2 linked regions of the Oryctolagus cuniculus genome follow. Each later gene encodes a partner of the first gene's protein in a complex. Links are inferred from orthologs where the notes say so. Each region holds a gene or a part of one and is shown on either strand. Other genes may lie near its edges. The genes, in order: GLI1 and SUFU.

Evidence for each region.
Region 2: the proteins of GLI1 (region 1) and SUFU are in contact, whole or in part, in a crystal structure (PDB 4KMD), measured with the Homo sapiens proteins. The link is inferred for Oryctolagus cuniculus from reciprocal best matches to the Homo sapiens genes GLI1 and SUFU. Residues at the interface, in NP_005260.1 of Homo sapiens: Gly119, Ser120, Tyr121, Gly122, His123, Leu124, Ser125, Ile126, Gly127; in NP_057253.2 of Homo sapiens: Leu144, Tyr147, Asn153, Thr154, Phe155, Gly158, Asp159, His160, Val161, Ser162, Trp163, His164, Gln212, Asn265, Leu266, Ser267, Gly268, Val269, Ser270, Ala271, Glu376, Leu380, Lys398.

The regions. Positions count from the first base shown.
Region 1 is NC_091442.1:60,086,247-60,090,809, forward strand, and holds the start of GLI1 (zinc finger protein GLI1), read left to right. Parts: upstream 1-1,606; 5' UTR 1,607-1,737; intron 1,738-4,563. UniProt on the Homo sapiens protein: Acts as a transcriptional activator. Binds to the DNA consensus sequence 5'-GACCACCCA-3'. Regulates the transcription of specific genes during normal development.
Region 2 is NC_091446.1:27,362,410-27,366,206, reverse strand, and holds part of SUFU (suppressor of fused homolog), read left to right. Parts: intron 1-1,638; coding exon 1,639-1,777; intron 1,778-3,797. UniProt on the Homo sapiens protein: Negative regulator in the hedgehog/smoothened signaling pathway. Down-regulates GLI1-mediated transactivation of target genes. Down-regulates GLI2-mediated transactivation of target genes. Part of a corepressor complex that acts on DNA-bound GLI1.

The sequences.
Region 1 (4,563 bases):
CCCTCTCTCTCTCTCTGTAACTCTGCCTTTCAAATAAATAAAGCAATGAAAAGCAAAGAAGAAAAAAAAAGTTCACATCCTATATCTAAGTCCCTGGGTTCAAGTCCCCAGTGAGAGACTTGGATTGCGTTCCCAGCTTGCATTTTGGGAATGAATCAACAACAAAGGTTAGGAGCTCTGGGTCTCTGTCTCTGCCCCTGAAACAAGCTGATAAATGAGTCCTAGGAGAAAGGACACCCGGCTGGGACAGGAGCAAGACTGGAGTCTCTTCCCGGTGACCATTGGTGCGGCCTGAGCGAGCTGGGCAGGCCCTCGACCCTCTGGGTGACACTGTGCGGGAGGCAGGCTGCACGGGACCTCCCCCACCCCCAGTGACTCCTGTGGGGCCCAGACCTCCCCTTGCTTCGCCTGGTCTTCCCCTCCCTGGACCCCCCAACCCGACTGTTAACAGGCCCTCACTCTCAGTCCAAGTAGATGGCTCCTGGACGCAGAGCTAAGGTGTGCCAGGTCTGCCAGGGAGGTCACAGAACCGGGAAGGGAGTCTTCCTCTTCCCCAGGACGAAATAGCTGCCCCCTCCCCGCCATCCGGTCACCACGGCAACACAAACCCAGAGGGACAGGGCACTCCTCCGTCAGGGGGGCACTCCCGCAGGGTGCCAGCAGCCTCTGCCGCTGGGCCCCGCCGCTTCTCTGGGCTCCTAACTGGGCTTTGGGGGAGGCAGCTGTCTGGGCGCGAGCTCCGTGGGTCCTCCCGGTCTCCTCCGCCTCCAAACGCAGAGAGGGTGTCATGTGCAAGCAGGGCCAGCAGAGGGAGCAGGAAGCCTTGGAGAGCGTAAAGAGCGCGGGCGGCAGAGAGGTGCGGAGGTGGCCGCAGCCTGCAGAGGTTCGAGGTGGAGAGGGCGTTTCCTGGGAAAGGTGCTGCAGACCCACGGCTCCTTAGCGACACTGTGGAGGCGCACCTCGCACGCAGAGCCTCGGCCGCTTCTCCTCTCCTTTCTACTCCGTAGACCCCGAAACTTTCTCCAGAGCCCCCCACCAAGCTCCTCAGCTCGGTTTGCCCCAACCCCAACTCTCCCAGAGGATTAGACCTGCAGATAAACCACAGGGTGGCGGGATGCTCAGTTCGCATCCGTCAGTGTGGACGACCCTGCCTCGAACATGATCTTTGCCAGATGAACTTCTCTCTTTTTCCCCCGCCTCGCAATATTTCCCTCGGTCTTTCTGGCTCTGGCTCAGGACCACTTCGTGGACAGCCGATCCGCAGATCCAGACCGGGATTTTCCGCCCACCACCAGCAGCGTGTTCGGGGGGGGGGGGGGGGAGGCAGTATAGGGTCCCTCAAGGGAGGGGGAGGATCCTGGGGGTCCTGGGGGTGCAATAAGCCCGGCACCCCCTCTCTCGCTCCTAGCCACCCCGCCTCACCCTCCAGAACGGCAGGAGGGAGGGAGATAGGAGGGAGGCGAGGGGCGAGCGGGAAGAGAGGCGGCGCGCCAGCGGCTAGAGCGAGGAAAAGTTTTTGCAAAAGGGAAAAAAAAAAGTTTGCGCTTCTCGCGGGTGGTCCCGGCTCGCGGCCCGGCTGGCTGGGCCGGCGGGAGGGCTGGGGGGCCAGGTTGGGGGGTGGGGGTGGCACCGAGGCTGCGCTGCCGTGGCCCTGTCCGCCCCCCCTCCCCACCGCACACCCCCCAGCCCAGACTCCTGCCCTGGACCGCGCATCCCGAGTCCAGCGCCCAGACGGAGGTGAGAAGGGGGGCGGGCGGGGGACCACCTGGGAGCGGTGGGGGAGGGGGATGCTCTGCTTCCGAGGGGTTCACCCCGGCCTGGAGGGAGACCTGGGGTGCAGGGGCAGAATGGGGGTGGGCGAGCCCGGGGTGAGTTGTTAGGAAGTCTGAGGGAATTTTTTTTTCCCGTTTGTATCTCTTCATTCCCTTCTTTTTTTCTTCTGACAGTCTGCGTGTCTCTGTCTCGGGCAACCGTGGGTCTCTTTGTCTCCGCCACTCCCCTGTGTTAGAAACATCTCACTTTCTTGAGGCTGGAGGGGTGGCTGTCCTGGGGTCTGCGGGGTGGAGCGGGAACTCCAGGTAGCATCTTGAGTGCCAGGCATGAGGACGTCGGGGCACCCCAAAGGAGGGCGCTCCAGGTGGGGTGGGCTTAGGTGTGTGTGAGGCAGCAGAACCACGGGGAGCCTGCTGGGCCTGAGCCCCCGACCTGCTGTGACCGATGTGCCTGCAGATGCGGGACGCGAGTGTCTTCCGGACTAGGCCGGGAGCTGGCGGGGCTGCCCAAGGTCTAACTAGGCCTTAGAAAGACCCCAAAGAATTTTGGGCTCCCGAGCCTCTAGGGCTATGGGGCAGGCCGCTTAAGAGGAGCTGGGGAGACCTTTTCTTGACCCTCTGACCTCTGGACCACCGGGGCAGCTGAAGCCAGCCGCCGGGAGACCCCTACTGGGGCTGGGCGGGACCACCGGCCACTGCCAGCCTATATATCCCGCTTGGCCCCCCGCCCAAACGGGAGCTGCGAACCCAAGCCCCTCCTCTGGCTCAGACCACCCTGCCTGCCCTGGCTCCCCGCTCTGAAGCCTCTTTCAGGCCCCTTGACCCCGAAACAATCAACCCTGGGTAGCCAGCTTTGGGGGCAGGATTAGAGAAAGGGGACCCCGTAGTGGCGGAGGACTGAGGGTTTTAGGGGGCTGGCGAGCTAGGGTCTTCCTAGCATAGGCCCGAAAGTTCCAGTGGAGGGCGAAGACCTGGCCGTTTCCCGGGGAGACGCGAAGGCCGGCGTCAGGGTGGTTTTCCCTAGGGGGGCGGGGTCCCGAGACCCCCCCTCATTATCTCCCCGGCATCCCCGCCCGACGCGCAGACCCCGCCCTTGACGTCACTAGGGGGTTCCCGGGGGTCCGAAAGGGTTAACCCTTGGGCTGCCGGGAACCCGAGGTGTTCACACACACACACACACACACACACACACACCTTGTTTTATTTACTCCCACTCTTTCCCCTCCCTATACTCTAAGGATTCTCTTGCTTTGCCACCCCACCACGGGGATCCCCACTCTCCAAAAGTGCTCCCCAGGGCGCCGCTGCCTGCTTTCGGGATGCACGGAGAGGAGGAGGAGGGAAGAATGTGTCCCGCCCCTCATCCCCCCCCCCCCCCACACACACTGTACGGCTCGCTCGACTGGGCTCCCGGGGCGGGCGGGGGAAGCGGAGCCGTCTGCAGCCAGAGCCTGCGGCGGCGACTTGGGTGGGCCGAGGAGGCACGGGGGCGGGGAAGGCGGGACCGGGGAAGGGGGCGGGGCCGGCTCCTGGGAGTTGGGGAGCGGGGGTACGAGGGGGCACTCTGGCAAGCCGGGCTCCGGCGCGGGATCCGGGGAGATCCCCACCCCACCCCACCCCACCCCACCCCGCACCCTCACCCACTCCCAAGTGTCCCGGAGCTGGGAAAGCGGGCGGCGACCTTGTGCTTCCACTAGTGCGAAGGGGAGACGTGGGTGGGCCGCGGCACGCGTGGGCGGGGAGGGATGTCGCCCCGTTTCCAATTGCGCCTGCCTGGCGGCTAGGCGCTGAGGCAGGAGGACCACCGCGTGGGCACGTTTTGGGGAGTCTCGTTGGCGTTGGGGGGGGTTCCTTGACGAGTCCGCCTCCTTTCCCTGGGTGAGTCATAGAGGAAGGAGGCGGGAGACGGGCCCCCCCACCCAGCTGCCAGCCAGCTGTGCCCCCCGCCTCCAACTTGAGTGCCAAGGTCGAGTTGGGAGGTCCCCGGTGCGGGATCCGGGGGTCGGCTGAAGGAGGAGGAGTTAGGAAGGGTACGGCCCTGGTTGCGGGGCTCGGGCCGGGTCTTGGGGTCCGAGTTCCGCTCCCCGTGTTACCCCTCCCTCACCCTAAATCCCAGCATCCCGGGATCACCCACCGCGCCGGCCGGCCCGCTCCTGGTGGCTCTCCACCCCGCCCCGCCCCGCCCCGCCCCACCCTCGCTCCCGGAATCCCGGAAAACCCGGGGTGGAGTATGAACCGGAGTTTGAGGAGAAAAGCAGACAGCAGCACCCGCTTCTTCCTCACTACTTTCGAGTGGCTGATGAGTTTGTTTTTCATTCTCCTTAATGCCTTCCCTCAGAGTTCTTTTCCTGTTCCCCAAAAACCAGACACCGAAAGGCTAAGTGGGCCCAGATCCAAACCACGGCAGGACAATGTCAGCTTCTGTCCTGCATACCTACCAGCCCCGGGAGGCTCCCCCAGAAGCCTGACCTACTCCTACTCACAGTTCTCCACCTAAGAGAGCCCTAGCTCTTCAGTGCTCGCTCCTGACCCCGCCGGCCTGTCTGGACTGTGGCGAGGGCTCCTCCTGCTGGATACTGGGGAGACTGTAGGCTGTCCGTGCGTGGGGGCCAGTGAAGGAAAGGAGGCGAGCCTCCTGGGGCTTAGGTCAGACCCTCCCTAAGTGCCCGCAGCCCAGCCTTCAAAGCTGGCTCCCTGTCAGAGCAAGAAGCAGAGGGCCCACAGCATGAAAATCACCTGGAGCTCGAACAGGCACGATTAGTCCATAACACCCCCTAACCACACATACACA
Region 2 (3,797 bases), on another chromosome or scaffold:
TGCAACCCGCACACCTCAGACTGGGCAGGAGAGGGAGGAGAACCTAGGCAGCTCCATCTTGGACCCGTGGGAGCTTGGGAACTGTGAACCAGCCAGTAGCTGGCTTGTCACTGAGCGGTGCTGTGCTGTATTCTCCCTGCCTAGGCCTCTGGCCAGCCTCTGTGAACACTGTAGATCACCCTGAGGGAGGGGCCTCTTCTCTGTAGCTTGTGCCTAGCCTACAGCAGTGACAACCTCTGGTGGGCCCAGGACCATGGCCAGGGAGCCCCACTGGTCTCCAGTCTGACTGCTTGGTTGCCACACCATCCTCGTTTGCTGCTGAAGTTGTCTCCTCGGTCCAGAGGAAGCTTCAGCGACCAAGGAAGTCTCAGATACTCCCAGCCACCCAAAGCCTGGGGTCTGGATGGCAGGGTCACCAGCACTGGGCTGTCAGGGTGAGGCTTCTGGTACGTTGGGCTCTGTTTTCTCCTGCTTGCTGTTTTCTCCATGCAAAACACTAAGTTCCTCAAGGCTGGTGGCCGGCCCAGCAGACTTCTTAAGGGACCAGGGAGTCCAGTTGTGTCCCTTCGCCTGCTGTCCTTGCCAGAAACCCAGCCCTGCGACCAGAGTCCAGTGTCCCACTCGGGGACACTACATTGGCTGAATCTATTGCAGCCGATGGCTTCCTCCACAGCCCTCTGGGCCCCACCCTCACTGATGGCAAGAGAGGCGGTTAGAATAGCTCTGAACACAAAGAACGGTGACGAAGAAGAAGGGGTTGCAGTTTGGACCCTCCCCACCATCCCTGGAGCCTGTAAGAGAGTTTGAAAGGGACCAGCCTAGTCCAGCCACCCTGAGCAGCAGAGCTAGAAGTCAGTGTGGGACAGACCTGACAGGCCCACCGCCAGCCATGTCCTCCCCTGCTGCCTCACTGGCCCGGGCTTGGAGCTGGTGAAGGGTTAATCAGCGGCTGCCTGAGAAAGCAAAATGCCAGCTTTGCTTCCTTTGCTGACTGGCGCCTGTGGCCCACTAGTTGTCCCTGCCTGCCCTTCCCCCAGGTGTATTTCCAGACTGAGAGCTAACAGTAGTTTCCGATGGCTCCCTCAGAGTGACCCCACTTGGCTTCAGCTTTTTTAAAAACTGGGTTGGGCCTTTGGGAGAGCCTGTAACTGCTATGAGAAAGTGCCGAAGCAGGTGAAGAGTCCACCAGGCACTGTGTGTGACCAGTCCTACTGTGAAGGCACTACCACACCTCCAGTCCCCCAAGCAAGGGGATGTGAATTCCCTCTTAGCCCTGGGCATTACCCTGGGCACAACCCTGTGCACAATGCTGACTTCGCTGTCTGGCCTCAGGTCCGTCACCAGCACCCTGGGCAGCGGGCTCCACTACCTGTGCAGGCCCTCTGACTCTGACCTAGTGCTCTGCTGGCCTTGAGCTCTTTGGAAGGATGATGTTAGAGGATGTGTAGGAAGGGCCTCTCCCATGAAGGTGGAGAAAGCAATGTGTCTGGTTACAGCCCCCTCTTCCTGGGCAGGTGGCAGTTTGGTCTCATTTGTCAGACTCCCTGTCCGAGGGAGCATGGTCCCAGACCTTTGGCCAGGCCACTGCACTTGGGCTGTTTCCAGGCCCAGCTCCTTACTGTCTCCATGTTCCCCCAGGGGCAGGCTCCTGCATGGACGGCACTTTACGTATAAAAGTATCACAGGTGACATGGCCATCACGTTTGTCTCCACGGGAGTGGAAGGCGCCTTTGCCACCGAGGAGCATCCTTACGCGGCCCATGGACCCTGGTTGCAAGTGAGAAGGCTCTTTTTCTCCCCTCTCTTTCCGTAGGCTCTTCCTTGCCCTCCTCTCCCTTGGCAGCTCTTAGCCAGGCCCATTCCTGAGGCTGCTGATGAGTACCTCTTGGGCTCAGAGGTTGAGGCCTGTATGTGGGTGTGGAGTGTGGATGCCACTGCTTATCCCAGCAGCCCCAGGGCCACTTCCTGGCCTCTTCCCTCATCATACAATGAGACCCCAGTGATAACTCTCCAGGCCCTGGCCATTGGTAATCCAGGTTTCCCACCTGGGTATACCAAGGTACAGGTGAGGCAAGATGGGGAGGATGGATGACAGCCACTCTGCAGGAGCTGCATGGAATTCACAGGAAGTGGGCATGTGGACCTGGACCTGGGACTGGGATGGGCGGGCCTTGGTGGTGGGGGCCTCCCTCCCCCAGCCCCCTGCACACACACATCGAATGGCTCTCCCCGTTCCTTCTGATGGAAACCCAGCTGGTCTGAGCAGAAACCTGCTGGCTTGTCCAGAACACTTTGTCCCTCCTCTGCTCTTCTGGCTGGCGCAAGCTTCAGAGTGAATGCCAAGCAGGGTGCTGGGGCCTAAGAACCACTGGCCTCCTTCCAGCCCCCACCCAGGCCCAGGTCTCTGAGGAGTGCTCTGGTCTGGTCTGCCACACTCCAAGTATATTGGAGGGACAGCATCCTTTTTTGGCTTTTGTTTGTTTGTTGGGAATGGGGGAGAAAAGAATATTTTGCTTCTCTCAGGAGTATCAAGAAAGAGAATCTGACCCTAATCCAAAAGGTACCTGTGCCTTATTTGTGGTGTGCTGAAGGGGACACTGGGTGGGGGAAGGGGGTGGTATGGTAGAGGGGAAAAGAATTATGCTGGCTTTGTGGGTTTAACCCAGTCTGGGATCTGCAGAGCGCCTCTGCTCTTCATATGGCCTTACTTTTAGTCCCCGTCTATCTGCTTACAGCAGAGTTTCTCAGCCTGCAGGCCAGTCCTCACCCCACCCCCACCAAAATACTAACCCTTAATTAAAACAAACAGCAAACAGAGGACACCAACCACACTCCCCAGACTAAGCCGAGGTAGAAATGGAAGCTAGTGCTTTAGGGATATTGTGTTCCATAAATTATCTTGCCTTTTTCCACTGTTGTTATTACATTGTTTCATAACAAAATTACTTTGAACCATAAAGTTATAAATACATTTTAAAAGTCCCACTTGGTAACATTAGATTTCTGTCCATGTGGTGTTGGTAGTTACTGTAGCAAAAGCTCCAAAGTGTAACATTTGAAATTAGCCCAGCACAAGTGGGAAGGGCCTCCCTTGGCCCCTGCTCTGCCCCCAACCCCCACAGACCCAGCATTGCCCCTGCAGAGCAGGAGGGAGCAGCCCTCCCCAGCCGGGCTGAGCTGATGAGGAGGTAGGAGGTGGGCACTGTACAGGAGACCCAGCCCTGGGAGGTCACGGGTCCTCACTCCTGGGGCAACAGAGTGCTGACAGGTCTCAGCAGAAGTGTACAAGGATGGCATGTGTGTTTACTGAAGGCTCAAGCACATTTTCTTGGAAAAGTGAGGGCTGGGATCTCCCCAAACCCAAGAATAAATATCCCCCAGTGACGTTTCATATCCTCAACTCTGACCCTGGCCTTGGAGTTCTGCCACCCCTTGGAGGGTCTCCCTGCCCTAAAGAGAGTGATCAGCAGCTCTGGTTAGTAGCATCCCAGGAGCCTTGGCACCCAGAGGACTCAGCAGTGCCCCTTAGTCCCTCTAAAGCTTCTGGGCCCCTGCTCCCCTGGCTGCCAGTGTCCCCCTCCCATCACCACAATGCCCTCACCTCCCTGGCAGCCCCTGTGTAAGCTGCAGAGATCAGCACCCGCAGACTCCCCAGCGCTCGGTCCCCTCCCATGGGCTGTTGCCCAGGGAACCGGGGAGCGGTGGGAACGGAGCTGCTGTTTCAATAAAGTTGCTGTGCTGGGAGCTGCTTGATCAAAGGCCCATGTTATGGGCTCATTAGTGTGGTCCACCACGGG